3 linked regions of the Schizosaccharomyces pombe genome follow. The protein of the gene in region 2 interacts with the protein of the main gene of each other region in a pairwise test. Each region holds a gene or a part of one and is shown on either strand. Other genes may lie near its edges. The genes, in order: dlc1, ssm4 and mug5.

Region 1 (10,020 bases), 1.7 Mb from region 2:
AGCAAAAATACGAAAAAATTGGTGAAAAGAAACAAGTCACTCCTTTGAAAGAGCTATGCGAAGGATATCCAAAGGAATTTTTACAGTACATGATTTATGCTCGGAATTTGGGTTACGAAGAAGCTCCAGATTATGACTACCTACGAAGTCTGTTCGACAGTTTACTGCTTCGCATCAATGAAACTGATGACGGAAAGTATGATTGGACTCTCCTAAATAACGGAAAAGGATGGCAATACAGTGCAGCTAAGCAACATGTCGTCCAACGTCGACATACTCAGGGTACTAATAACAGGCGGCAGTCAACTATTCCTCCATATGCTCGTACTCGCCAGAATTTGCTCTCTAGCCCAAGTAAGCAAACTCCAGTCAATAACGTGGTTGATGCCAGTGTTGCGACGCAGAAAGATGGTATACCAGGGAAAGCGGCTTCTCCCCAAGTTCAACAACAACAGCAAACTTCTTCCGCTCAACAGCAGCAACCGCAACGGGTGGAGCAACCTGCTCCTCAGACTACCCAGCCTACACAGGTAGACACTCAACAAGCTGCTAAGCCTGCGCCCTCGAAAGAGAAATCACGAAAGAAGTTCCATCTTCGCTTACTGTCTTGCTGCATATCGAAACAAGAATAGTCATGATTATTCAACGTCTTTCCTTCTTGTCTTTCACTGTTATGTCGATACTTTTTTTATTTTTTTCCCATTATTAAATATCCGCTTACAATTTGCAACATAATACGTCCATACGATTCCTTCTTTAAATTAATTCTTCCGGAATCGTAATGTGACGTTAATCCCGGCTGCTTAAATTACATTGCTTACTGTTGTTCAAAAAAAAAATGCTCACTAGATGAGATTCTGTGTTTGTTGGCATTCTTTTTGATTTTGAAATTTTTGAACGTGTTGAGGATGAAGATTTTGATTCTAATTAGTACTAATTGTTGTCCTACCTTATATACATAGATTCATATTATTACTCCAATGCATTATGCATCATATGCAATTGAAGAGCGTAGAAGCATGTTCCTTGTCGTTGCATTTTACTTTTGAATCATTTGCAGCTGTCATACTTTTTCATTGTAAGTTATATCGATATATACATAAATAGTCAGAAGCTTCACTGAGCTACCAAATGTTGACTCATAAGGTAAAAGATGTTTGAGAAGAACATGCTCCAATTACTTTGGGTGAAGTATAGTGAATATTTAATTTATCTTATCATGCTAGAAAGTTATAGTCAGTAAACGTGGATAATGTACTTTACTTTATTCTAACTGCCATGAAGTATTGAGACAAATCTATCAAATTATATAAATTAAATATTAAATTTTTAACATGTCCGTTCATCGCTTGCAAAAGGAGTCAATAGGATATCACGATAATTTGGCAACCTACGGTTGTCTAAGATAAAATCTTGTTCTACACACGAATTTAAAGTATTTTAAAAGAAAGAAAAACAATTTCTTTCGTAAATAACTGCTACAGATTATAAACGAAAATTTTTAATAAACAAGAACCGGTAATCGCAGATTCGAAAAACAATTTCATAAGTGAAACTCTAGACCATTAAAGAATATAAACAAAATAATTTTTCAATCATGATAATTTTGAAGATGATTGATTTCGCATTATTTTTTGTTTAATATTCTAGCCATTCCAATAATTCAGGAGTAAAGTAAGTCAAAACTATGTTAGCGCCAGCACGCATAAAGCCATCCATGGTTTCCATCACATGTCTTTTTAATTCAAATACGCCAGCGGCAGCAGCAGCATGAATAATGGCGAATTCGCCTGAAACTTGATAAGTAGCAATAGGAAGGTCATCTGCTAGCTTAGAAGCCATTGCCAAAATATCGAGATAAGGTGTTCCCGGTTTTACCATAATACCATCAGCACCCTCTCTAACATCGCGAAGAATTGCTCTTTTGGCCAAGCCACGTGCATTACAGGGAAGTTGATAACAGCTGCGATCACCAAATTTTGGGGCACCATTAGCAGCAGCTCTGAAAGGACCAAAAAAACCAGAAGCGAACTTTGCAGAATAGGAAATAACGCATACTTTATGAGACAGTTCCAACTCTACAAGTTTCTGCTTAATCGCCTTAACACGACCGTCCATGCAGTCACTAGGAGAAATTATTTGAGCGCCTGCCAAGGCATAATTTCCACTAACTTCAGCAATTCTCTCAACGGATTTAGCATTATTGATAGTGCCATCTTCATATAACAGACCACAGTGGCCGTGATCAGTATACTCGCAGAGACAAACATCACAAGCAACAACCAGCTCCGGAAAAAGGTGACGAATTTCTTTAACGGCTTTAATAACTGGTCCATTTTCGGAATCGGCCATGCTACCACAATAGTCCTTTTTGGACTCGATGACACCAAACAGAATTACACTACGAAGACCTTTTTTGACGAGAGGACCCAAAAACTCTTCCAATCTATTAACACCCCATCTAAATTGATTAGGCATGCTATCAATGGCTTCCTTAGCATCATCTATTTCGGAAATGAAGATAGGATACATTAGAGATGACTTGGTAATGGGACGTACACCTTGCCATTCACGAAGCAACGGGTTTGAATACCCAGCATGCAAAAGAGAACTGATATCAACAGGCATATTAAATACTAACTGACAAAATTTATTTGATTTTTCCTAAAGATGTAAAACTGCGTAAAAAAAGCAGATTTGTGACAAATGGAACTAATGGACCAGCAAAAGCGCCTTTTATTGGTTATTTAAAAAAGTTCTAGCGGAAGATCAACAAGATTTCCTAAGAAATATTTTTAAAAAGGTAAGTGGCAGATGGCGAGAGGTTGGCGAAGGTTAAGATAAATAAGTTTAACTTTTTTTTAAAAAATCGGGCATCGGACCACGATATTTGTTGATTACATAACAATAGTATCACTCCTGAATAAATTGTTTGTCCTTGAAGAAATTAATTGTCGTAAGGGAATGCTGGGAGTATTCAAACAAGCGAAACAGGACGAACGCCAAAAGAAAATGACCAAATGAAAAATTTAGATATCATTTAGTTTACAAGGTGATCTCATTCTCCATTTCATTAGGAAGTGAAGATACTTGGAACTTGGGTTTGCTGTCGGCTTTACCAATTCTGAAATAGAAGAAACAATATGAATAAATGGACAGAACAATAATATTTATTTTAACCAATTCTTGGCCTTTTCTACTTCAGTGAGAAATTAAAAAGAGTATTTAAGTCTTTATACCTCTTCAACATCGCCTTGCTCCGTAGCAGATGCGTTGGTATTTGAAGTAGAAGGAGGAATTCGGACTAAAGCTCCTGAATGTTGGGATGCTATCTGTATTGACTCAAAAATGCTGGGCCAATTATTGAGAACAGTAGCAACAGCTGATTTTGTTAGTGATTTGAGTGTCAAACATTTATTATAATGGATTAAAAAGAGTCGTCAAGCATGTATGAGTAGTAGTGAAAATAGAAAAAATAAATAAATAAACAGATTATATTTTTTACGTTTAGGTGAATTATTGAGAGGTAGAAGTTCATTTAGAGACATGTCGGCAAATGATTGCTTTTATTTGCAATCCTGCAGATCCAATCAATTCACTTGTTTCTTTGCTTTTCTCAATGTAATGATATTTATACTTGTTCACATGAATAGCACTTAAACAGATTGGTGACAAGGCTCTTTTATATACTTTCCTCGTAATGAACATACCTTCACTTCCATCTGTTAAAGTTTCCAATTTAGCAGCAAGCGTTTCTATTTGTTGAACCATATCATTAGAAGAATCTCTTAGTTTGCATATTAGTTCGTATTCCTTTTGCTTTTCCTCAATCCTTGCTTGAAGCATGTTCACGCCAAATGTTTGTAGAAGAAGGTACGAAATTTACTAGATTTATCTCCTACACCATATAAGGCGATTTCGGTTTTGTAATTATACGTTTAAAACAAATAATTTCCGTTTCTGGAATTTTATATCTCGGAATGTATTACTAATAAAGAGGTTGATAATAGAGACTAACAAAAAATATAATGATTGATTTTACTCAATTTTAACCATTTGTTTTCATCTTTAATAAATTAGTTAGTTCATTAATTTAAAGTAATAATGAATTTAGGAAACTATGTTGAATAGTGAATATAATTACTCAAATAATGGGTCAAGTTTAGCTAGCTTATTATATCCATATTTTACTAAGTAAGTATGCATTGCTTCATCCCTCTAAAGTTTTAAAGAGGATCAAAACTGTGCATATTCTCTACTATTTCTTCTTTTATTTTTATTTTTATTTTTTTTTACACAAGGTATAATGGGCTTAAAAGACTTTTAAGATTTGGGTTCGATAGTATATTCTTTTGGTCAACAAGATTGTCAACGTTCCGATACATAAGGAAATGAATTTTTTATTCTAGACAGGATGCAACTTCCACGTATGTTTTCTAAAATTTGAACCGTATTTGACTAATTTAAAAATTCATAAAATGTCTCATCCACTATTGAAGTTTCTTCAATGATCGGTTCCAACGGGTCGTTAAAGAATACCCAACTTTTTTAGAACAAATTATAATAGAGTGGCTATTATCCATTTCTAATTAACAACTTTTTAACATACATCAAACCCTTGTTTACATGGTAATCGAGTATTTTCCTTCGCAAAAATTCACTATTACTCCAAATACTCAGTTACTGAATTGTTCGATCTCACAATTAAATTTCGCGCAGTATGTTATTATATTCTATATACAGTTTTAGAATAACGCACTTTATACATGGTTTTCGGCAATAACGTTTACATTTATATAACAATTAAACAAGTTATAATACCGTTATATCACAGAATGTCCCTGTAAATAAAAGTCAGTAAATAATCTATAGGAAAGAAAAAAAAGGAAAAGGATAAAAGGGTTAGGGGATTGAAAGGATCATTGATTTAAAATCTTTGGGTAGTAGCATCTTTATGTATCGCAGTACCGATGAGATCTTCTCCATTTTTGTAAAATTATTGAAAGAACTAATGGTAGGAATACTAAACATAAATTATCTTGTAGTTTTATTCAATGATCAAATAGTTAAAGATTTGGATGATTTCGCTACATTGATACTTGGATTCTATGAACAGCAAAACAATCGCTTTCCCTTCATGCTGAATTAACATTTCGATAACTAAAAACAGATTCTATACACTTTAAGTTCAGAGAATTTAAATTGTTGTTTTTTCCTTCGGCCCGTCTTCAAAGAAACACACTCAATTCATTACTGAAACTGGACTTGCTAAGAGTATTGTTAAAAGCGTAAAGCACACATTAATGTCTTTTGGTAATCCAAACACCAGTAATTATGTGTAATTATGAGTTTTTTCGATACAATTATTACGGTTAGAGGAAGACATGGTTTCCAAAATCATTATGCATTTCTTTCGAAATCAATTATCGATGTTTCAACCATCAACTGTTTTCAAATTGGTATTAATTAAAGAATGTAAGAAATAGAAATAAACGCTGTTTTCCTTTAAAGCAATACTTGATGCTTTATTTGAATTATCTCATTCATCCCAACGTGAAGTTGACGATTCGCTGTAAGCGAAAAATCCTTACTTAACTTCAGGTTTAAAGCAAAAAGAAATCAACAATAAAAAGAAATGTTAACGTGAGTTATGTTCGCGTTGAACTTTGTATCGATGGGGTTGTCACCGTTAAACGTCGTACTAGCTGTGGGTGTCTTTATCTCACTGCGTACCCTCCTTGTACTCATCAAAATACCCCATTTCGAAATGAGCTGTGTAAGTCGTCAAATACGCGATTCGTTTACTAATTTGATTATGAAAATAGCCTATAGATTCCAAAAAACTTGAAGAAATTTGCCTAGAAGCTGCTCAGCCGGTTTTGAAGGCTTCCGAATATGACGGAGACAAAACAGCTGAAATGAATCAATCTGTTATTGTAAGTTCATTTTATTTTACAAATATCTATGTATGGTAGCTAACTTTATGTCTCATTTAGTATGCCGTATTAAATGCTTTGAATAAGGAAACCCAGTCTTACAAATGGATTGTTAGTTCCACTCTTGTACAAAAGCTTCCCGAAGATCATCCTTCTAGAGGCGTTCACGCAGCTCACGCTGCTTGCTGGAATTGTGAAAAGGATGGAATGACTACTATCAAAGAGAGCGGTGAGGCTATTGACGTAGTATTGAGCATTATGTGGATCTCCATTTAATTACCATATTATCGAAACTGTTCCAATCATGATCATCTTCAAAGACCTCTTTGTTTCATTCCCTCTTTTTATCCCCTGGTACCAGTTTTTGCCTTAGATGCAAATTGCCTTTAACTTTGCAATTTACTAACTTTACTATCTACTCTTCTTTTCTACTTATTCCTATTATATGCAATCTACGATAGTTACGTTTCTTAAAATTCAGACATTTGTGAGCGCTCTGTAACATGTTCGTATTTTATAAGCATTTTGGTGTGTATACGATTCGTGTTCGTCCTTTTTCCAAAGGTTACAAAGGACGTTGAATCGTGTCAGTATTAGCTTGATCGAGCTTTACTTTGCTTGAACTCTCTAAGACTAGCAAGAAACTGAGGTACTTACAATAAAAATAGCGAAAAAGATTTTAAATTTGTTATATCATATACCTTTGCTTTAAGATTAAAATCATACATCTTTTTACAAGGCAGTAAAATGTTGTTTCAACTATGTAATTTATTAATTAATGTTTGGGAGCACCTGTCTAACTACCACGTTATTAGCCTACTAAACGCCATGCAGGCTTTTGCTTATAAACTATGATAATAGAGAAAAGTATAAATGCTAAGCAACTTTCTTTAAAGTTGTGGGATTCTTTTGTCAAAGAAAAACAAGTTTCTTTTGTGGCTGAAGGAGATGCTACTGTAAAACTAGTAAGTCTAGTTGAACTATTAAAACGTCGTTGTAACGAGCAGAAAATTCCCTTTAATCAAACGATTGAATTAATTCCTAGCGAGGAGCAGTCTTCTGACACTTTGATACACGGAAATCGGAGATCACTTCCTCAGTTGAAGATCGACCTACAGATTTTGGAGCATGACAGCTAAATAATACGCAAATTTTTACTCTTTTCAAAGTTACCAAAAATATTCTTCTTTCATTTGTATTCATACTTTATAGACGCTAATTCCCTGAACCAATCGATTGACAATTTACCAGTTTACGAGTTATATTACTGTTACTTTGTGAGTTTTTTGTTATAAATGATAGTACATTAATCGATGAAAACTCGATTTACCTTCTTCAATAATTGATGACCTGCAATGTCCTTTTGCCAATTTGTAGACGTCTAATATTATTTTTTCCATTCACGTCTTTGCGAATGATGCTATGGTAAAAGGGTTGAGTGGAACGAAATTAATTCATAATGCTGTTTTTTTCGCACATGGAATGGTTCAAATTGTGAAAGTTCGCTTTTTGGTCGCTCCAACGCTGCGAACAATAAAGTTTTGGATCTTCAATTGATTTCATCAATTCACTCTTATCCTCTTTTTTTTAGATCGCTGGTTCTAGCTTACACTGTATGATATGAACCGCTCTAGAAATTGGAATGAGATTCAATTGGTGAAAGTGAGGATCAAACTTGTATGGCTACGGAGTTTTTAATGGAGAGACACACCTTTAAGAATCTAAAGGCCCCATACAATAGCGCTAATCTTATTATTAAAAGCACTCTTATGGATTTCTCCGTTTTAGAGATGATACCAACATTATTTTCAAGCTGACGCAAGACTATTTTGAGTATGTATTAGAATTTACATTAGCGCTTTAAAGGATATTGACGTTAGCCAATCGAATAAAAAAGGAAATTAATATTTAAATTAAAGCATTAAGTTATCAATTTTTTATTATTTACCGTTTAAATCATTTACACATATTGGAATCGACCCCCTCGTCCACTATTAAATGTTTTCCCCCATTCGACAGGATCAACTATTTTTCTAGCAGATAGTCGAATTCCTCCTTTTATAACCATTACATGGTCTAATGTCTTCACCAACAGAAGATTTTTCTCCAAGAGGGCAAACTCTCCTGGCTTCATGTGAATCCAATCTTCTGCTGATGTTGAGTGCAACGGATGAACGTCGTACAAAAAAACTTTTTTGTTATTTAAAATGCACCATACGTGATTAAAAGCTCTGCTCATGTTGTATATTTGTTGCGTGTTCATGCTTTCAAAATTAACATGAGCATCTTCAGGTGTAATTTTTTTAGCCCAACTTTCTTGAAATGATGGAAATGTTTCTTTTGAAATTAGTTGTAGGCCTCCTGTATCTGTAATCCGCCCATGTATTTGAGGAGCTACGGTATTTGTTTGGCAATTTGGTAAATAGAGTGATTGTAAAAGGACATGTTCTAACATGCCGGCAGCTCCTAAACTCAAAATCTTTGTCAATAGTGTATATGTTTCTTTCCCATTTAATTTAAGGTACGCTTGAGCTAATGATTTCCCCTTATCGAACTGCTTTGAATCCATTGTTTGGATTGTCACACCGGCCAGACGGTCACCATTTAATATAGTAGAATAAACAGGGCCTGCTCCACGATATTTTGGAAGTAAGGATGGATGTATATTTATCCCCCCATATGGCAGTTGATTCAAAATTTTAAAAGGCACAAACCTTCCAAAGCTAGCCGTAATTGCAAGCTGATCATCAGGTCTCATATGGAAGTTTTTCCATCCATCTTGTAGTTTTATGTATTCCAAACCGTTCGCATTTGCCTCCATTGCTGCAGGTGGGAGGGGTATTTCACCTCTTCTCGATTGTCTCTTTCCTCCTGCACTAACCACGCGCACACGTTGAACACAACCTATTAATTTGCGTAGAATTGGAATTGAAAATTCATCTGTACCTAAAAAAATAACGTTCAATGGGATTTTAGGAGCCATCCTTATAAATTTTGTTGCAGAATGGTGCTAGTGGAACACTTCTGCATTCACCGATGTACGCCCGATGGAGTGATTGAAATGTTATGGATGTACCAGTCCGAGTTGATGGGAAATAAACAACCAATCCTTAATAAAGATGAAATGGCTGCTAACAATCCTGAATTAGAAGCTCTCAAAAATCAAATTGCTTTATTTCATGGGATGTACGGGTTTTCTGTTGAAACTAAAGATATCTTAAAAGAACAGCCGACCGATTCTAAATCCACTACTTCCTCTGCACCTAAAAACTCACCCTTTTCTTTGCTTGAGAGTTATGATTGTCTACAAGTTGATACTGCAACTGTTCAAAAGGTTCTTATCAAGCGACCTGAAGGATGTCGCGAGCTACACTCTTGCAATGTTTTAATGAATAATGACGAAAAAAACACTCTTTCATTAACCCCATCAATATTTCTATCTGTCATGAAGCCGTGTCCAAAAACAAGTGTGCTGGTTACTACGGTTGCTGCTTTGTGGGAACAATTTAATATATTTCACGGTTCATATTTATTCGACGAAATTGAAAAAAAATCTAGCTTTGAGATTATCGACCGCTGGTGGACTTCGGTCCTATCACCTTTGGAATGTGGTGGGTATCTATTGAAATCCCTGAGTGTGCTACCTGTTCTCCATTCGCTGGATGACCCTTTAGTAAAGAAAATGAATGATGTTATACGAAAAGAAGACGGAACCATGGGATCGCTTATACTATTCACTAAATCGGGCCAGCCAAGGTTGCTTTCCCTACAAGGTCTTCGCTTAAAACCAGAATTTCGTAATCTTCTTTCTTACTATTGTTCTCACAATTATCAGCATTTAATAGAAAATGAAAGCGCAGATATCAACATTGCGCATAGACCATTAACGACCTTGTTTTCCGACACAGACAGCAATCTTGCAATAACGAACGAGGTCGGCGAAATGACCTTGAGGATTTTTTGTCTCAAAAAGAAAAGCAATAAAAGGCTACTAGCCATACTGTGGAAACTTGGCCAAACATCTTCAGAGGAAGTTAGCAATGCATTTACCAATTATATTATTGGGCTTGCTCCATTATCCCAA
Region 2 (10,464 bases):
ACTACTCTATGTTATCCCATATTGCGGTCAATTTACTGAGCTGCGTTATGTGTTCCTATATGGCTTCTTGCAACTTGATGTAGGGGTATGCGGTATGTTTAAATAACAGTGTTATATTCATTGTTTTAATGAGTCTACTAGAAGCAGTCACAGATATAGCTAGCTAGTAAGTGAAACTGAGGAACGAGATTCAGTTGTAGCTCTATTTATAATCTTTCTAATAGCAGCTATGAATGTGAAATTTATGTGGATAGATGAATAAATAGCTACAATTATTAATAAACGGATCTTAACTAATGTTCTAATATATAACTAACTGTAGTTCAATGTGTCGTTAAATAAATACTAAACTGCGTAGCTAACAACTACGTACTACTAATGACATATGGTAAATATTAATTAGATCCCCGAACCGGTAATTGCAGATTATCAAAATTCTATGTGCATTGAAAAATCGTTAACAAAATTACTAGGTAAGTTGTAAATAGAACTGAGAACTATGACTAAATTTGAAGTATGAAGCTCAGTTATAAGTTATTTTAGTGATAGGTAACAATTTAACTTATATATTAGAATACATATAGCAAGCTACTCCCTCATTTATTTGCTTATTGTAATATTATGAATCGGCAAAGAAAACTCTTACTGCATTTCTCAAATCCTTAAAAAAGGCAGCAAACGGTAGGTTAGAGATGAGTTTTTTTTGAAATTTACTCATGTATAGCAAGCGATATGTAAAATGTACGAGTAACAGATACTATCATTATTGTTACATTATGTCTCTACTTATAACTGCCTCATGCCGGAACTGACATACAAGAAAAGTTTGAGCTCTACTTACAGTAGTTCTGTCTAATATCTAATTAAACGGGTATTTTAGTAATAGAAACAGGTCTTCCGTTATTATCGATAAGCGGATCTCAACTAGTATTTTAACATATAAAATTAGTGATTTGCAACACAGCGTAAAGTTGCTGACATATTAGAGTTGTAGCATTTCTAATTTTAAGGCATTATATCAATCATAAAACAAGCATCGCTAAAGTCTCGCCTACAATACAACCTGTCTATCAAATACTAGACTCTGCTATGCCGGAAACAAGCACAAGAAAAAAATGGAGAGACAAGGGTTTAAAGATTTAATATTAATTAAGTAAACTAAACAATGCAAGCTGGAGTTCATAATACTTTAAACTCGTAAAGTTAATCCCTCAAGAGGATCGGCTTCTTCAAAGAAACTCAAATAAGAGTCATCAGTGAGAGCCATCATTTCATAAGAGACCGCAGTATAAGAGTCGGGGCATGTAACATTGGTAGCATAATCGCAACCAGAGCTAGAGCAGTTGAAACGTCCAATTTCGGCAATGCGGTTGGGACGGTTGGAGTAGACAGTAGAATCGTTGGCAACGGAGGAGAGGTTGAAGAGAATGAATCGGCCAGTGCCATTAACACCTTCAACAGTGATGGGGAAACCGCTAGTATCGAGATGGAAGTTAAGTTCGCAACTACCGGAAACTTGAGGAACATCAAATGTGAAAATCGTGTTGGTATGATTGTTTTGCTTCTGAAAGACGACGGGTGAGTAAACATTACCGGAGTTAGCTTCAGGCTTAGTCGAATCAATTAAACGAATGCCATGGGGGAACAAAGGATATACAGCAGCAGAAGGTGATGGAGTTGCAGCTTCACTTTGGCTAGCGGCAGTGGTGATAACAGGGACAACAATACACTTGGTGGTATAAGCAACGACGCTAGAAGCAGAAGGACTGGGTCCAACATATGTGGTAGTTTTAGTAGTAGTGGCAGTGTTTTTACGTTGGGTAGAAGTAACGGTAGAGGGCTGAGTGGATGTAACAGTGGAAGCTCCGGTGGAAGTGATAGTGGAGCCTCCGTTCGTGGCTGTTACTGTGTAGGTTTCAGTAGCCGTAACGGTGACAGCTGTGGTGGTCGTAACAGTGGTGGCTTCGGTAGATGTAACGGTAGAGGCCTTAGTGGAAGTGATAGTAGGAGGTGGAGTAGAGGTAGAATTATGATAGGAAGAGGTAGTACTATTATAAGTGGAAGATGAAGAGATGGGTTGAGGCAAAACAGCCAAAACAGCAATACCTACACAACTAGGGTTACCGTTTCCAACTCCAAAGAATACCTGATAAACCTGGTTATTGACGAGAGAAGGACAAGCAACGGCGGATTCAGTTCCATTATATTTTAAGCTATATCCGGAACTAATAGCCTCACCGACACTGAATCCAGAAGAAGTAGAATTAGTATCAGATTTGAAAACTATTTCACCATTGGCGCTCACGGAAGCATAGCGATTACCAACAGATAGTTGTCCATTAGACATAGTAAAGGTGGCAGCGTCATCAGTGCCATCAGCGGGGTCCAAGTAAACAGAACCAGAATCTCCAACATAAAATCCGTGCAAATGGACGTATTCATTGCCGGAGTGAAGAGCCAAAAGACCAAATTGTCTGCCGTTCAAAGGGTCATCGCGTCTACGCAATGGGGAAGCTGTCACACTGGAGGCAACGAGCAAAGAGAGTAATGTGGAAGCAATGGGAATCGAAGAAAACTTCATGGTGCGTGTAATAAAAATCCAAGATTTTCAATGAATAGATGCCAATTAATTAACTGTTTTTTATAAACCAAAAAGTCCTCGCAAAGATATGGAGGTTTTGTTAATATAATAATAATAATTATAATGAGAGATTAAAGGGAATTGATGAAGACTTATTTACTTTGTTTAGTAAGGCTTCGAAGATTATTACAAATGAATGCAATTAGATTTGTTGGCGATATTAAAAGGATTTTCATCTCTTTATATATCAAAAATTTTCCAAACTTAAGTTCGACAATATCAAGAATTTACTTCGGTAAAACGTAACTCATGATCCGCAGTCATGAAAACTTTTGTCATGTGTAGGGAAAAGCGCAGAAACAAAAATTGCATGTAGAATCATACACGGTAATTAAAATGAGGAGTAGTAATATATTTTTAAGGCGAGGTGAATGATTTACATAATAAATGGTCAGCGCATACAAGAAAGTCCGACTGTTGGCGATGCAGAGGTAATATTGGTCGCACTTCCACCATACAGACAGTACCCACGTTCCGTTTACATTTTAAAGGCGGTTTTTTAACGTGATCACTTTAAACGCTTATTAGAGGCTAGCGAACCGCACAAGATGTCATACAAGTACTTTTGCGTAAGCTTCATCGACATGTGAATAACTTTGAAAGCTAGCGCAATGTTTTCACAGTAGTGTGGGAAAACAGATTTGAACAGAGGGAAATTGAGAAATTTAACAACTAGGATTTTTTCCCGTACAACTTTTTCCTTAGCTTCTTAATTATCTAATGGATTAGTACGATGTTTCGTAAGGTAAATTGCATATACCGATGATTTAATCACCTTTCGGTCATCATAGTCGGAGTATTCGGAAAAATTCCTTCATTCCGTGTACGCTTGACACCGGCCGCAAAGACTCCGCACAAGACTCCGAAAACTCCGGATATCTGCTGCGCACCGGCATGTGATCATCGGTGTTATTGGGTGGGGTTGATGATGCATTTTCACCTTCAAATTAGAAAATCCTGATTTTCAATAATGAAATGCATCAACGCACGATAGATATGAATAAAGACTTTGTAGGGATTCTTTATTGTTAATACGGTAATCCAAGGTGAATGACTGTGTAAATTTAACGAGCTTGAACAAAAAACAAGGAAACTGAATTTGTTTTGAAAGAAATCCAAACAAAGGCTGGTATCATTCGAATCTCCCGTTGGTATTTAACTTAGAAAGCAAATGTTCAAAGAAATTTTTAAAACTAAATTAAAAATAGCTCCTCCTTCAATAATACGGCTTTCTCATGTTTCTCTAAACAGAAAACCCTTTGACCAGCTGTCTCCCGTTTGATTTAAAACGCGTCTCTCGTAGCAAAGGATGATGATTGTGTTTCTTTACTTACAATTGTGTATTTTCTTTCTTTCGTTTTCTTTTTACATGACTATATATAGTAAATTAACAATTGCTGTCTTGGAAGTTGATTCATGCTGTGATTAAGCCAAAATCGCTAGGTGGCTGTGCTTTATCCAAATACCGATGAAATCTAGTTTAGAGTAGCGAACCCCAAGCTGCTGCGCTGCAGCAGACGCACTACCTCGTTATTAATTGAACTGGTATGCTTCACTATTCCGTATATGTTCTGTTATGCTCGGTTGGGATGAAAAAACGAGGGCGTGAAAAAGCGCGCTTATAGCATTGACGTCAGAGCTATTTTATCCTTTACATTGATTTATCTACTAAGCATGGTTATTCTATTAAGCAATTCCTGATATAGTTTGATTTACTGACACTTTTGCAACTAAGATCTCAATTCACTAGCATGAAATTGTTTGAACGATTTCGATAAAAATATTATAAACCAACATCTAGAAGACTAATAGTTTCAATATTTTTATGCTTCAAATGTCCAAAATTAATTTTGGTAGGTTTACACAAGAATAAACCAACTGTAATTATATCATATAATTATATTTCTTAAATATATATAATTATAAAGATTAGTTTACAACGATCTCCTTTAGTATAGGGGTAGTACACAAGCCTGTCACGCTTGCAGCCCGGGTTCGAATCCCGGAGGGAGAGAATATTTGATTATTTTTAATTTTTGCATTTTTTTTATTACTCAAATTTTGATTACTTTTGTTTGAACAAAATAATACTATAGAAGCCTGCACTGTCATTTTTATTTGAATAGAGGAATTTAAACTAAAATCTATCAGCTTGGCTTTGTTCTGAAAAAGTAAATGCTTCAAAAAGAATATGCCAAATTATTTATTGACTGATTGAAATTGATATCGGTGATGTTTATAATTTGATAATCAGAGTTGACTTTTTTATTTATTTAATTTATTGGTTCATTGATTTTTTTTGTTAAAGATATCATAGTTTAATAAATTATTCCTTACACTTTTTTTTTTTTTTTTTTTGAAAAATTTAATAAATACCCATCCGTACCTTATCGTAAATTTTTGACAGCATAATTTATGGTACATTGTAATTTATTTTGTGAAATATTAAATATATATATATGTATTTATAGAAAGTATTTTCTATTCCATTGAACCCATGTTTTGTGGTTTTATGTGTGACAATATCATCAACTTTTGCTGAAACGTAAAAAAATTTTTGTTTGTCATTTTTTTTTTGAACGAGTGATCATCATAGAAGGCTTTTAAAGCAACCTTCCATTTTCAATTGCCAAAAATCGAACAGTTTCTTGAACTGCTGTTATTAAAGTAGATACACAAGTGGTAGTACGAATGGGAAGGATGTCGCGTCGACGCCCTATGGAATCTATAATTACAATTGCATCCAAAGCTAATTTTGCTCCTCCAAGAGGATGCAGCATTCCCATCTCTCTACAAATTTCATTGTTAGAATCCGAAATAACTGGTAATGAAAATTGTAGAGCACGAGGCAGATGGGCTTTCCATTGACATATATTTTCAACCGTATCAGTAGTGATACCAATCACATCTGTGTTGTAGGATTGCAGACATGGATAAAAGTGACTAATGACAGATATGTGAAGTGGGACGTTGTCAACATAACCATAATCACCGCTGACATTACCAAAGAAACAGAGAACAAATGAAGAGAATAGTATAGGTAATTTATGAATTTCATTTATTCCACCGATACCATTTACAACGTAAACGGGTTTGGAAAGATTAATGAAACATGGTTCAAATACTACTTCCATATCTTCTTCCCTAATGACACGTGCATGGTTCATTCCGTTCCTAAACGAACTCTTTATATGGGGATGCATACCACGCGTTTCTTCATCTTTCGTAGAGCTTCTTCTTTTTTTTGTAGATTTAACTCTTAAAGTACAATTTTTCTCGTGAACAGCATCACGAGTCGAAATGGGAAACTGGAAAAGGTTTTGGTCGATTTCCATTTTCTAACCCTTTCTCTGCAAGAAGGTGAAGAAACGCTTGATACGCTTTAATAGAAAAAAGGTAACAAAAAAAAATAATATCGCTACCGTGCAATGTGAAACAAGCAGTTTCCCACTCTTAAAGTGGTTGGTTTAGGGTAAGTAAACTTGTTTATTTACATGATTCTCACGTCGACAATTAATCTTCAAAGTCGATCTAATTGGCCAAAAGTACGTTAGTTTAATACAAACATGAACCAATCAAATACTCAACCCCATATTTCGTTAATGCATAACAGGTCACAAAAGAGGTTACAAGTCGATCTTAAACTTAAAGCAACACCATACAGTACATTAATGATAAATTCGTTAAAATATGGCAGTTAAGATTAGAAGCTAATTTTCGGCGGCTATTAATAAATTGAATTATATATCTCATTAAAAGATTAGCATTTTTTGGAAAGAATGTCTGTTAACTGACAATAATTAAATAGCTGTTGATTGTGATGAAAACTGGGTCGCTCGATATCTTTTTTCCAATTCAAGGCCAGCTGCTTTTCTACTGAAACGGGTTTAATATCTGCAACTAATTTTCTTATCTCCTTGCAGGCAAAGGTCAATGGGCTTGGAATTGAGTTTTCAGTATTAGAATCCCGTAAACTGTGTTTGAGCCAGTCTATATTTTCACTAGTATTGTCACCTTGTGGATATTTATCGGCCAGTTTCATCCTTGCGGTCTTTAGCTGTTCTCTTAAATTACAAAGATTTTTCTCATACTGTGTCTTTAATGTTTCAAATTCTTTCAATGTTCTAGAAGTGATTTCAGAGTTAACTTCATTCTCGTATGATTCAATTTGTTCTTTTAAACGTTGGTTCATTTCTGTAAGGTCGTCTTTCATACTACTTTCCTCCTCCACTTGTTTTGATAGTTTCAATTTTGCACTGTTTAACTCGTCTATTACAATATTTGCTTTCTCAAGTTTTGCATTTAATTGCAATAATTCCTCTTGAGAGTCTGATAAGCATAGTTTCAAATGTTTAACTTCTGTCAAAGCAGGTTGAGAAGATATTAGTAACTGAGATAGCCTTTGAGTTTCCTCTTGCACCTCATTTAACTTTTCCGATTGTCTTGCTTCTATTTCAGTGTTTAGCTGATTCAAAGTTTCCAAGTCTTGAATTTCTTCTGTTAGTTTTAATACTTTATGAGACAACAAAGCATTTTCCTCCAACAGTTGCCTTCTTGTCTTCACACCATCCACTGAAGAGTTGTTGGACTTTAAGTTTAATAATTCTTGATAAACTGTGCTATTCCAATGTACAAAATTTTCATTTGTTAATGAAAATTGTAAATCCAAACTTCCCGGTACAATATTTAAGTATCTATTCACGTTAGATATTGTCAATTTCTCAGAAAACGGGTTTTTAGGAATTTTTACAAGCTCAGTTATGTCGACCTGAACCTGTTTTAATTGCAAAACCTTAGAAACCTCTGAGACCCCAAGGAGACTAGATGGTGTAACTTGTGTAGTCCAGTTGTCCTGGCTTTTAGGAGTTTTGGAATTCAAACTTCGATCAGAGTACTTATAATTAGGAATCTTTCGAATTTGCAACTTTCGCTTTCTTAGATACTTTATTTCTTTCTGCATAGCCAAGAATTTTTTGAGAAACTTTTCACGCCTAAAATTCCGAGGTTTTTCAATACTGTTTTTACTGCGAAGGAATGTCAACTGAGGTTCAACTTTCTCTAATTCCTTATTTAATTTATCAATTTTTTCTTTTAAGGCGGTATTTTCACACATCAATTCATCCAAACGACCCTTCCTTAATTCTGACTTTAAATTCTCTTTTAAATAACTTCCCTTTGAATGAGGAGTAAATTTTTTTTCACATTCCTGCAAAACGTTGTCAACTTGCCATACAAATTCCTCTTCCATAAAACTACTATCGTCAAGCCCAGACAATTTGCTCGTATCTGAGTTTAACAAAGTAGTGTCAAAACTTGATAATTCTTCTGTTGAAAAATTTAGCTCATCTAGATTTTCAGTTGTAGATGAAGTATAAAACGTAGCTGTCTTTGTGGGAGTAGACGAATCAATAGGTGTAATGCACAATGGGCGTGCCAATGATCTTTCAAATTTTGAGGGCTCCCTACGTGATTTTTGTTTAATTGCTTTAGTTTTTTCCATAAAATTTGATATGTTTTCTGATCCTTTTTTCCTTGACTTGACGACACTTGGTCTTTTCATCACATTCGAAGAGCATGCGCGTACAAATATCCCTTTTCCTTTCTCACATGAAAAATATCGTTTCCCTTTTACGCTTCCATCATTTTTTCCTTTTCCATTTAACAATTCTACGCCTAACCAAATACCACTTTCAAAATCAGTACTACCGGCAAATCGAACTATTCCTAATTCTCCACGGATGAGGACTTCATCCCCGACGGACAAATAACTCATTTGAAAAAAAAGAAAGGCTCAGAAAGTACTTGATAAAATGGTTAGAAACTGTGAGATTAGTGTGGGGAGGGGGGAACAATGTTTGCAATACAGGCGCGCTAAAATCATCACTATGTTGCACAGTTGAGCATGTTAATCACCAATGTTCAAATCACTTTTAACACGCATGTTAATGTTATTTAAGTAGAATGAAACGATTCTTGGGTGAATAAACCTATTAGTTCTTTTTGAAAGGGTGGATAGAAAAAAACAAATCTAGTCTAAAAAGCGTAAATGAATGACAAGAGCTTTTGTATACAAAAAATTAATTTAAATGATATTATTACACGAGATCATAAATCATATATATGACAGACAACAAATAACTGAAGGGAGAAAGTTAATATGCCATTGAAATAAGAAAATTCTTATCTGAACGGCATAATTCAAACAGCAATGAGCATAATTATTATTCTTCATCCTCTTCAGAGAATAGATTTAACTCTTTATTGTCATCTTGATTGTCTGTGATATCGTTATCCTGCTTTTCTTCGATAGTACGAGAAACCTCCTCTTCTTGATTTCCCTCCGCGTCACTATCCTGGTCAAAAGTATACTCTTCGGATATGACTCTTCTATTAACACGACGTTTTTTAGTTTTATTTCTGGCATCGCTCAATGGTATTTCATCATCTTCGCTTACTCCGCTATCCGAGGATTCCTGTTTCGATTTAGATTTACGCTTTTTTCGATCTTTCTTTTTCTTCTTGCCTGACTGTTTTTCTTCGTCATCAGACAAGCTCATATCATCTTCAGAAGCCTTCTGCTGACTCTTTCTCCACTCCAAAACTTCTTCTTGCATCTTTTGTCGCTCTTCCTGAAGTTGCCTCTCACGTTCTTGCTTTTCCTTAAGTAAAGCTTCTTCCTCTGCCAATCTTCGAGCCTTCTCCTTTTCCCTTTGAATCCTAGCATCTTCAAGTTTGGCAGCAACACTCTTCTCATATTCGATTTGCGCTTGAATAGCGCGCTCCAATTGACGCTTAGTAGTATTTTTAGCCATCTTTGCACGTTGTTCAATACTGGTAGGAGAATAGGGTGGATGTTCGACAGACACCAGTTTGGTAAAAGTTTCAATCGATGCGTCAAGCTGTTGCATTGCAAAGTTCAGATCCTCAACAGTTCTACTGTTCTCGGGTTTCTGACGGATGAGCTCACATAGCTGGAATTGTACAAAGGCAACGTTAAATAAAAGGCTTGGATTCTCGGGATTTTTTTCTAAAGCTAATGTAGCATATCGCACGGATTCTTTTAAATAGTCGACGTTTTTGCTTTCGCGACCACGCTGTAGCCAAACTCGGCCTAAACAGCTCAATACACCATAAGTATCACTTTCTCCGGTACTAGAATACACGGTTTCAAATACCTCAATAGCACGACTGAACTGTTTGAGTTCTGCAAGGCAATTGCCAATGTTTATGAGTGTTGTAGCATCCTTAATTGCTTCACGAACCTTACTCAAAATAAGTAGAGCTTTAGAAAATTGCCTGTTTTGTGCTAATATAATGGCAATACCCTGGGCAGCGTGTGCGTTTTTTGGATCAAATTTAATAGCTTGATCATAAGACTGAATAGCTTTGATGTAAAGTTTTTGCCTTTTTAACTTTTCACGATCATTATGTACACGAAACTCTCTTGCCTGTCTCATATAGGCATTACCGAGTTGAACTAGGGAGTAAATGTCATCGTGCCAATGTCTAAGGGTCTGAGAGCAGTGTCTAACTTCAGGATCTTCTACTGGGCGACGCTTTTGTTTACTCAAATACCAACCAAAAAATGCTCGAACCTCTAAATTTTGAGAATCTGCGTTCATGATATGACGAATTTCTTTAAACGTTTCCTCGTTAGGATTGGATAACTGAAGTAAACATTTGCGAATACGGGCATCAATAAAAGATGGATGTTTTTCGAGAATCGAAACATACGCTTCACTAGCTACAGAAGTGTTACCCAATTCTTCTTCACAACGTGCAAGATTGTAATCCAAGAGCAAGCTTAATTCAGGATTGGCATC
Region 3 (10,409 bases), 710 kb from region 2:
TAATATTAACTTAACCGAAGAAGTAAATAAATCATTATTTGCATAATTCACATCAAAATAAAATTTTCATTCACTAAAAAGACATCAATATAACGAAAACAAATTTTTTAAATCAATTTAGCGACTTGATAATTGCCGATTGCAGCAAACGTAGCGACAAATAAAACTTTATCGTTTTAGCAATCTATACAATAAAATAAATATCAAGTTTGCAAACTCTAGAAGGTATGTTCTTAAACGAAGTATCCTGGCTTGACTATCAAAAGTAGATATGTGCCAATTATACGAACACGAAATAGTATCATAATTCTCTAAATTTACACAGAAGGAACATGAAGTTGTTCTTCTGACTCGTTAACAGCAAACGAACGTTCACTCAGGGACGTCTCTTCTGTTTTAGAGGGTGGCCGCCATGTCATATTTCTGCTTTTCGTCGGGTGGATAAAACGACAAGCTGGATTCAAACACGGTTTATATTTACAAGGAATTGGAATGGTTGACATGGACATGAAAGGTGGTAATGTAGTAACCGTAGCTGGAGATGGATGTCCCTTGACACACTGTATACGTTAGTAATAGTTAGATTTAAATTATTATGGTACTTACATCAGCAGCTTTGCATTCTTTACCAGAAGCACACATTTCACTGCTCAGGACCATACCTTCTCCTGGGGCTGCGGCTGGTGTCGGATGAGCAAATATACACTAAAGAGTTAGTTTTAACAAATTATCTGATATTAATACATACGTTAGCACGGGAGCACTTATCGGCATATTTGCACAAAGGGACCTCTTGGGTTTGAGTGAGAGCACGCTTGGCAGCAGGCATAACGGATTTCGAGTAGTTAAACGAAGCTGCCATGGGATTGAATCGCTGTTTCTGAGATGTAAGTTTGAGCTTTTGTCCGACACGCCCAGTAGGTAGCTCCTTCTCTTCACGTAACGAAGTTATATTAGGAGTTTGAGAAGATTGAGGTTGTATGCTAGTTTCCGGCACAGAGAAAGATTGCTGCGACTTGTCAGTTGACTCCTTCTCGATAAAATCGATTTCGTCGATCTTGCTGACTGACTCAACTGAAGCATTTTTTGATTTTTCAAGCTCTTCAATTTGATTAAATAACCAAAGTGAGAAGCTAGTATCAAAATCGGACCCTATTAAATCAACTAGTTCTTCATTAATTTCAGTTTGTGTTTTTCCATTGCTAAGCATCACAAGAACAAAATCGGCCAGAGAAGCAGCCTCTTCTCCCCACCCATATTCAGAAAGTTTTTTTTCAATCGAATCATGAAGTTTTTCACTATATCCAGGTGTTTCCAGTAATGTAGTCATGTTGTTGGTTTACAGTCAATAATTAACTAAAATAAGCCAAAATAATAGAGATGCTCAAATTTACAATAAATGTACTCCGAGAATTAGTAAATCAATTCCACTCCTGTTATGGAATCAGAATTTAATAAGTTATGTACCGGTATATGCTCTAAAATGAAATCAAATAGCTCAACTTAGCATGAAATAAAGGAATTGAGAAGAAAGAATACAATCACAAAAATATGTTCACAGACAAGAAGTTGGCAAATTTGCCGTTCCAAAAGAAATAAACTTCCTATAGATGATGCGTTCGGAGAGCTTCAATGGAATACGTAGACTAAAGGTAATTTCTAGTAGCAATAGTTATATTGATACTGCAAGCCGTAAGTTAAAATACAGCAAGAGCCTCAGTTCAAACGTAAGTGGAATATAAGAAATATCTTTCACAGTAAGAACAGAAAGAATTAATAAATAGCATAAAATAGCGAGTTTGCTAATTTTTTTTCGAATATTATACCCAATTTCACTATAAGAACTATTCAACGACTAACGATGACACTATAACGCCACAACGTAACAGCATTAATTAAACTAGTCCAGAATCTAAGCGTCTAATATATATACATCTAAAGGCTTAGCCAACTACAAAGCAATTACATTGCATTGTCATTTTGGAATATAGTTATTTCTTCATAGTAACTAGTAGTTCAAAATTACTTTCTCGAGCAAATATTTTCCTTCGGTTCTCAACCTTCTTAGTAGCACCAACTACCTAAAGTCTTCTAATTATCTCGAAATCGAAAACGTTGTGAAACGTATATATTGCATATAGAAAAATTTTTAGGATATAGGTGCAAGGAATTTTACAATTGATGCTGCAGTTTGAGGGCAACGAGTTAATTGATTATTGCGAACATTTCGAGTAGAAGAGTATTTGGGTTATAATTTACATTCTATTTTATCAGCGTACCCACCATTTTGAGAAGGAGCTACAAATGTCTTCACACGATGATGATCATACTCCATTACTAATTTCCGATCCGTCAGTGAACAAGCCCTTTCGATCCAGAACTCCTTCACCAGAAAGAGAATACTGTTCTGATTGTCCTTTGCAAGCTAAAGGTTCTGCATGCAACGGTAATTCTCATTCATTAAAGCATGAAACCAATGGTGCCAGTTCAAGCAATAATAACGTTGCAAAGTCAAGCTCGCATGACTCATTTAAGGCGAAGCCTAAAAATTACGACTCTACCTCCAATTCTAATGAACCCATCTCTTTCAATGAACCAGATTCATCTAATTCTCATCATAATAATGAATCTATATGTAACAATGATAACTGTTGTCGTGAAATCGCCAGAAGACGTTCTTTATCTCCACTTTTGATTCTTCCATTAAACTTTATTAATGCCTTTTCTTGGGGCATGATTGAAATACCTCTGCTCTTTTTACTTCGACAGGAACTATGTGCCATTCATTATAACCTTGATCCTACACAGTTGTCCCCAGATGACCCAATATGCCGACTAGCGGAAATTACTACTGGTGTTTCAAAAGTCCGTGCCGCTTTTGGCTCTTTAGCCGCCTTTTTAGGTCTTTTTTCCACCGCTTATTATGGAACAATGGGGGATATTTATGGTCGCCGCCTTGTACTTTTCATTACCGTCTCATTTTTGCTGCTTGGTGATTTATGGCTTTTATATCAGTCCTATGCCCCCAAGCATCCATATTTTGTTCTTTTTGCTGCTGCCTTGAAAGGCTTAGGCGGTTATATTTCTACCGTTGTAGCCAGCCAAAATTCCTTTGTTGCAGATTGTTCTAAGACCGAGTTTCGTGCATGGTATTTAGGATTAAATTTTGCTGCTTACCATCTAGGAACCGCTTTGGGACCTAGTTTAAGCGGATTCATTGTGCAATACACTCCTCATATGTATTATGTATTTTATATTACTTCAACTTTTTGGATTATTTATTTACTTTACGTTTGGTTGATACTTCCAGAAAGCCTAGATGTTTCGGAAAGTAAAGAGCAGCAGAATAAAATATCTGGATTTTCCTCGATATGGAGATCATGCCTTGAGCCACTTATAATTCTTTGGCCTCGAAGTTTATGTACAGAGGAATCATGCGAATTCCATCAGTACGATATTAATGCTGATACCCATGCAGGAAGAAGACACTGGGACGTGTTACTTGCAGCAATATTGATATCTTTAACTTTACTCGGCGCTGGTTCAATGGGCTTATTGCCGCTTTATACGGACTATAAATTTGGCTGGGGTCCAATGAAGGCTAGCTTAATATTATCCACCGACTCTTTTGCTAGTTCAATCACATTAGTTGCGCTATTCCCTTTACTTTCTAAAGTTATCGAAAAAATAATCGAAAAGCTTTATTCTTCTGAAGGATTATTTGAAGATCCAAGTCGTGCAGACAATACCTCTTCCCTACAAGGGATTCGAAATGTTTTCTCTTATTTAGTTCGTCCTGGTTATTCACGTTCTAGTATATTGCGTGGTAGAACGGCTGACGAGAAATACACTATAGTTAAACGAGACGTTTGGAATGCACAGTTAGGCTATGCTATTGCTTTGAGTGCAGCGGTATTGTTAGCAGTTGCCAAATCCGATGTTGCACTTTTCACCGCTGTTATTATACAAGCCATCTCAAATATGGTTGTTCCTTGCGTACAATCTATTGCTCTTAATGGAGTCCAGTCCGAATATAATGGTCGAGTATTAGCTGCGTTTGCTGTTTTTGAAGCGGTTGCTTTGATCATTCGAGGCCCAATATATGCATTTGTATATACTGAGTCTATGAAAGTGTCATATCCTAATATGATATTCTTTTTGAGTGCAGTCATTTATGGTTGCTGCTTTATAATTATCTTCTTTATGAGACTTTATCGACCTTTAAATCGCAAACGTTGAAAATTCTTTTGACTCGATCGGAGATGGAAATCATTAAATTACTACTTAGAACTAACAAGTTTTGTGGGTGATTTTAGGATGAAATAACGGGTGGTGTTTGAACCGCTATTTATTCATTTACTAGACTAAGTTCAGACGCCTAATATTTTTCGATACAATTATTTATAAATTTTGAAGCTTAAATATCAACATCAGCGTTCATAATTGTGTATCTACTTTAGGATATTCAGCGTAATTTGTTAATCCTTTATTATACTTTAATTTTAAAAAAAACGCGTTTACGCGTAGTAGAGATAAAAGCCTGTGGCTTCTTCCTAATTCTCTATATGTGCTACCTAAGTAGAATGTCTAGTCAACAAATGCAGCTCACCATATCTGGATTTGAAAACAGAATTAAAATCCTAGAAGATTTAATGAATGAATTTGACAGCAATTTATACATTCGTTTAAAAAGAGAATGTGATTTTAAGCTTCCAAAAGAGTACGACGTGTCAATACATGCTTTAACTATACTGATGAAACGGCATTTATCAAATATGGAACCAATTGATTGTTACCAAGATTTAGATACTGGTACGTTGCAAACGATGTTGATATTTTGCTGCACTCTGCGTATGATTGAACATTACGAGAAAAGTCTATCAAATATAAACTTCTTTTCATTGTCAAATGATCTAAAACGCTTGGAAGAATATAATACCTCTTGTTCTGTACTACTGAGCTTGTATCAAAGACAGTTAAAAAAAATATCAACCACTATCGAGTCATATTACTTAGCAGATACACTTCGGCATAACCAAAATATTTTAAATTTATGTGAAAGGATTTATAATATCCAGAAACTTTTAAACAAGAGAGAGAAGGCTAGTGTTCTTCGTCATTAAAAAAATTTCATCAGACCTAACCTCTACCCCTTGTCTTGAACTGTTAAACTTATATCTGGAATCAAAGAACAGTAGTGCTTAAATACTTCTCACATGTTCAAAATAACAGTCATCTCTTAAATTTATGTTGTTAGACAATGGTTCTTTCGATCTTTATGGGTTTACTTTCTTTTGACAAATGTAAAGTTATGTGAAAAACTAAGGTGATAAGTGGATGGCGCGATTAAATCGCGAGCTTTTTTAACCAATTAATTTTATTTTTACAACTTTGATTATACTTATGAAAAGTTCGCCAGCCATGCTACACTTTTTCGTTCAATCTCCAGCCCATGCCAGCCACTAACACGAAATTCATGAATCCTTTCTTTGTATCGCTCAACCAAGAATATCTTATATAATATAAATATTTCAGGCATGTTTTACCCCGTTGATACTGACTTATCGCTGGTGAAGCGATAACTAATACCTCTTTCATTTATAATTTCTTTGTTTTTCGGCAGACAAAGGATATTGGAAGACAAAGGAAATTCGCACATCTAAAGCATCATTCTTCAAAGTATATATAAACCTTGTTGTATTTTATATATCGGAAAAAAATGAAGCTTGTGCTATTTCTGGTTCTTCTTTTTTCAGCGTTAATTAATTTGACTAACGCTGATAAGATGGTTGTTGCCCATTTTATTGTTGGCAATACTTATCCTTACACTGTTTCTAACTGGGAGGAAGATATCCAGGATGCAATCGCTGTCGGTATAGACGGATTCGCTCTCAATATGGGATCAGACGCGTGGCAGGTTGAGCGAATTGAAGACGCATATGACGCGGCAGCCAGCGTTTCCTCAGACTTCAAGCTTTTTATTTCTTTCGATATGAGTATTATTTCAGCAGATGCTGATTTTATTGAAGGTGTTGTTCGAAGATTTGCTGATAAGCCTAACCAACTGTATTATGATGGTAAAGTGTTTGTTTCTACATTTGCTGGAGAGACAGATACATTCGGTTATTCTGATGTTAGCACGGGCTGGGATTCTGCTGTAAAAGAGCCTTTAGCATCTGCTGGTTATCCTATATATTTTGTCCCAAGCTGGACCTCCTTAGGCCAAGGGGCACTGGAAGAAAGCGTTGCAGATGGGTTTCTCTCTTGGAACGCATGGCCCACAACGGATGCTGATATGAACGACAATGATGACATTGGTTACCAGAATCTTGCCAATTCTTTAGGCAAGTTGTATGTTGCACCAGTCTCGCCTTGGTTTTACACTCATCTTTCTTACAAAAATTGGGCCTATAAAAGCGATTGGTTAATTATTGATCGGTGGAATGAAATGCTATCTGTTCAGCCTGACATGATTGAGGTTTTGACTTGGAACGATTACGGTGAATCACATTATATTGGAAATATTCAAGGCGCCTTGCCGGCTGGTTCGGAAGGATATGTTGATGGGTTTGATCATACCGCATGGCGGTATTTGATGTCTCCATATATATCTGCATACAAGCTTGGTTTGTCAGAACCGTACATTAACTTTGAATCGTTATTTTATTGGTATAGACCGACTCCGAAATCTGCTACAGCGACCGCTGATAGTTTGTCGTATCCCTCCGGTGGTGATTATATGGAAGATGAAATATTTGTGCTTGTTTATCTGTTGCAATCCGCGGAAGTCACCGTAACATGTGGCTCTACAACACAAACATTCAGTGGTGTTCCTGGTGTGAACCAATTCACAATACCCATGGAAACGAATGCATCCCCTTCCTTCACAGTTGCTCGTCAAGGTGGTACCTTAGCCTCTGGAACGGGACCCGAAATTGTTGATTCCTTGTCGATATATAATTTTAATGCCTATACAGGTGTTCTGTACTTTTAGACTTCTAGTTTTGCTTTTTGTTATTTATTATAATCGGTCTGGGAGGATATAACGTACAGCATCTGGAAGGTCTGCTCGATTTCTTCGGTATTGCTTTATCAAAAAGGTTAAGCAATGTTGTAATAGACCCCTTATTTTTACTTTCGGGAACCATTTTTAATTATTTTCATTGTTTCATTTTAATCCATCCGGTCTATATATTTGTTGGTACTTTTATCTTTTTACCATTCATTTGGTTCTGTTGAAAAATTCATTATCGGATTGAAAATGTTCATCAAAATATTCATAACTTTTTCTGCTGGACAGGGTCTCTCGTTTTACTTTACTCCCAAGTTACTGAAATTTTTTACGTTCTATGGTCTGCTGGCAGTTACCTAATATTTTACAGCACTTATAATGTTAATAGATTGTGATTGTTATATATTTGCATATAAATTTCACGTACACTTTAAAAGGATGTATTTTAATAACTGCTCATAATGTAAGCAAAAATTGTTGGTTTAGAAAATGTCATATAAATAAAGAGGACAAATCACATAAACTTAAAAGACTTTAAGTTAAGATTTGTAGTAGGCTGAAATGATTAGAAATAGAAGATAAACCAGGAATAGACGAAATAGAAAGCCAACAAGTAAAGTCAGTTTTAAATAGGGATAATAACCATTAAGACATGTGAATACCCAATTCCCCCGTGGATATACTTGATGCAAGCGAAGCCTATAAAACTGAGTAAAAAAAGATGCTATAAAGCGCAAATCATAATGCTGAAAGTACGGTAGTGACCAACACAAACAATGCCTTGCCGATGAAGGGGAGAGAAAAATGAATAAGTCCACAAATATACTATGTGTGATACCCCGAAGAAAAGGGCGCTGATAGGGAGGAAGCGAGTAGGTAGCTGAGCTCGGATCAAATTCTAAACGTATAGCAGAATACATCAAGTTTCCAACAGCCAAATGAAAGAGAGTCTTTATAAACCTAGGATAAGTCTTTTTAAGTGCTCGTGAAGAATCTATTTGGATCCTAGTCTGGCATTCAGGCAAGAGTAGATCTGCCAATGGGTACCATTGAGCAGAAAATACTTCTGATTCTTGAAGTCTCAACGACGGCATATAGGGAAGAATAAATACTGTGGAAGTATAAAGTTAGAAACCTAAAAAAAACCGTTTGTTAAATAAATATAATACATACCAAAGGAAGATAAAAGAAGTAACGGAAATTGACCCCAATTAGAAGTGATTACACGTTCATCCAAAGCACCAACAAAATGTGCATGCTCTTTTCGTAAATCAATACCAACTTCCTCTAATGTTTCACGGTGTGCAGTTTGAATGTCTGATTTATCAGTCAAAGAGCGTGTGCCTCCTGGCAAGGCCATATGACCAGACCATCGATCGGTGTCTCGAAATGAGCGTTGAATGAGAAGTACATAAGGAACAGAAGTAATGGGAATACATTGAGGCCATTTTGGGTTAGAAAAATCTTGGGATTCTTTAAAAGCTATTATAACAGCTACCGAAGCCCTTCTTGGAGGAGCATTTGGTGTTACTCTCGGACAATATTCAGAAAGTAATTGTAGACCGGTTAATAAGTCCAATTCCAACTCCATATATTGTAAGCTCAATTTCCAAAAGAATTATTTTGTATTCCACTTATAAAGGAGTAAATCTTATTAGTGCTGTTGCTTCAGCTCCTAATAATTAAAGAAAGAAAAAAAAGTAAAAAATGGATAAATAGAAATTTGGATAATAAAATCTATTGTAAGGATTACCTCAACGGAAGTTTACAACAATGTAGTCGGAAGTACAGATGAAGCACCCAGCATCCAATTCTAGATGATGCAAATTCGTCACTGAAGTTAGAATCGGCTTGTATCTATTCAAAAAAAAACTTTTGTTTGAAAGGAATGTAAAGCTATTTCATAGTATATTAAAACGGAAGGCTTATGTACAACACTCAATAATGGAGTGGTCACTTCGTTTTCTTTCCACTTGTTTACTAAAATTATTTGTCAATTGAGTAAGAACAGATAGATAATTGTAAAGTTTTAATTGAGTTGCAATAACATCTTTCATATTGTTGACAAAATAAGAAATACGAATATGTGGACATTGCTTAGCGATGTTTATCATATCGTTATTATAGTAATACGTAATGGAATAACAAAAATCGTTTTAACGAGATCACTTCGCTGCTCTAATTAAAAATTTAAAGGGCGCTGCGAGAAAATACTTTACTACAACACCACATCTTTTTTTTTGGATCAAGAAAGCAATGCGTTTCAGTGACAGTATAGAAGCTGGAATTTATGAACCATGGAGAGATAAATATATGAATTATCCAGAGTTAAAACATTTGCTTAAAACTGAAGAGGAAGCACCCTCATGGGGTGAGAATGATGAGTCTAAGTTTGTTTCTGTTATGGATGCCCAACTGGAAAAGGTAAGTAGCAAGCGAATATGTCTTAAATTTTGTATTACAAGGATTGTAATTAGGAGCTTAAATTAATAAGTAGCCTGAAATTATCACACATTTTATTTTGTTGCTCCTGTAGAATGCTGTTATCTAAAATTCCATGCTTGGTATAAATCCTTGTATTTTAAGAAAAATAAGCTTATCACGCTTAACGTTTGCTAACATTTTCTGTAGGTTTATGCATTTCATCTCGAAATTTTGAAAGAATTAAATGAATCAGTGGATTGGGTAAAATCTAAAGTTTCTGCTTCTCAGGAACCTGATGGTCCTCCCATTTCTAAGGAAGAAGCCATCAAGTTACTAGAACGATTGGATTCTTGTACTGAAACGGTTAAGAAGTTGGAGAAGTACACTCGTCTTAACTTAACAGGTTTCTTTAAAATCGTTAAGAAGCATGATAAGCTTTATCCCGGCTATTCTCTTCGTCCTGTGTTTCAGGTTCGTCTTCGCGCTTGTCCTTTAGGCAGTGTCCAATTTAATCCTCTTTTAGCTGAAATTTTCTCTCTTTATAATACTTTACGTGATGGTCTTTCAGCACCAAGTAACTCCGTGCAAGTGAAACCGAAGCATGAGCACAATGTTGATTACAATTCTAGTATGTATCGTCGTCGTACGTTTCGTTTTTGGGTCCATCCTGATAATGTGATGGAAGTAAAAACATACATTATGAGGCATCTTCCTGTTCTTTATTACTCTGGAAAGCAAGGATTTGACAAAGACCAAAATGGTGTATCTGGAATTTTGGATCCTATATCAACTTGCTTGTATTTAGATAATTCCAACTTTGATTTATATTCTCAAAATTTGGAACGATCAGAACAGGCTTATTCTTTGCGACTTCATTGGTATGGAAAGTTAACTCCCAAAACCGATATTATCGTTGAACGAATGGTACGTCAAGGAAGTACTCTTTCACATAGTGAAGACCGGTTCACTATCC

What was found.
Region 1: the proteins of ssm4 (region 2) and dlc1 interact in binary tests that used the Schizosaccharomyces pombe proteins (3 or more experiments, as listed by UniProt).
Region 3: the proteins of ssm4 (region 2) and mug5 interact in a two-hybrid assay, tested with the Schizosaccharomyces pombe proteins (one study listed by BioGRID).

What each region holds. Positions count from the first base shown.
Region 1 is NC_003424.3:2,782,303-2,792,322, forward strand, and holds dlc1 (dynein light chain Dlc1), read left to right. Parts: upstream 1-5,719; 5' UTR 5,720-5,767; coding exon 5,768-5,776; intron 5,777-5,825; coding exon 5,826-5,936; intron 5,937-5,996; coding exon 5,997-6,212; 3' UTR 6,213-6,416; downstream 6,417-10,020. Other genes in the region: serine/threonine protein kinase (CK1 family) Cki3, read left to right, coding at 1-632; porphobilinogen synthase Hem2, read right to left, coding at 1,639-2,628; DASH complex subunit Dad2, read right to left, coding at 3,234-3,382, 3,711-3,846; protein Pop6, read left to right, coding at 6,788-7,075; methionyl-tRNA formyltransferase Fmt1, read right to left, coding at 7,897-8,919; SPOM_SPAC1805.10 (uncharacterized protein), read left to right, coding at 8,941-10,020. UniProt on the Schizosaccharomyces pombe protein: Acts as a non-catalytic accessory component of a dynein complex.
Region 2 is NC_003424.3:4,528,273-4,538,736, forward strand, and holds ssm4 (dynactin microtubule-binding subunit, p150-Glued Ssm4), read right to left. Parts: upstream 8,465-10,464; 5' UTR 8,415-8,464; coding exon 6,402-8,414; downstream 1-6,401. Other genes in the region: SPOM_SPAC27D7.11C (But2 family protein ), read right to left, coding at 1,190-2,581; thioredoxin family protein But1, read right to left, coding at 5,245-5,976; RNA polymerase II-associated Paf1 complex subunit Tpr1, read right to left, coding at 8,863-10,464. UniProt on the Schizosaccharomyces pombe protein: Binds to nuclear microtubules with the effect of either modifying their structure or function. This then promotes meiotic nuclear division.
Region 3 is NC_003424.3:5,238,488-5,248,896, forward strand, and holds mug5 (protein mug5), read left to right. Parts: upstream 1-4,565; coding exon 4,566-5,123; 3' UTR 5,124-5,627; downstream 5,628-10,409. Other genes in the region: poly(A)-binding protein Nab2, read right to left, coding at 318-560, 607-705, 749-1,330; SPOM_SPAC14C4.07 (transporter), read left to right, coding at 2,305-4,239; cell wall glucan endo-1,3-alpha-glucosidase Agn1, read left to right, coding at 5,720-6,994; SPOM_SPAC14C4.10C (Nudix family hydrolase), read right to left, coding at 7,552-8,123, 8,186-8,603; vtc2 (polyphosphate synthetase), read left to right, coding at 9,269-9,436, 9,644-10,409. UniProt on the Schizosaccharomyces pombe protein: Required for correct meiotic chromosome segregation.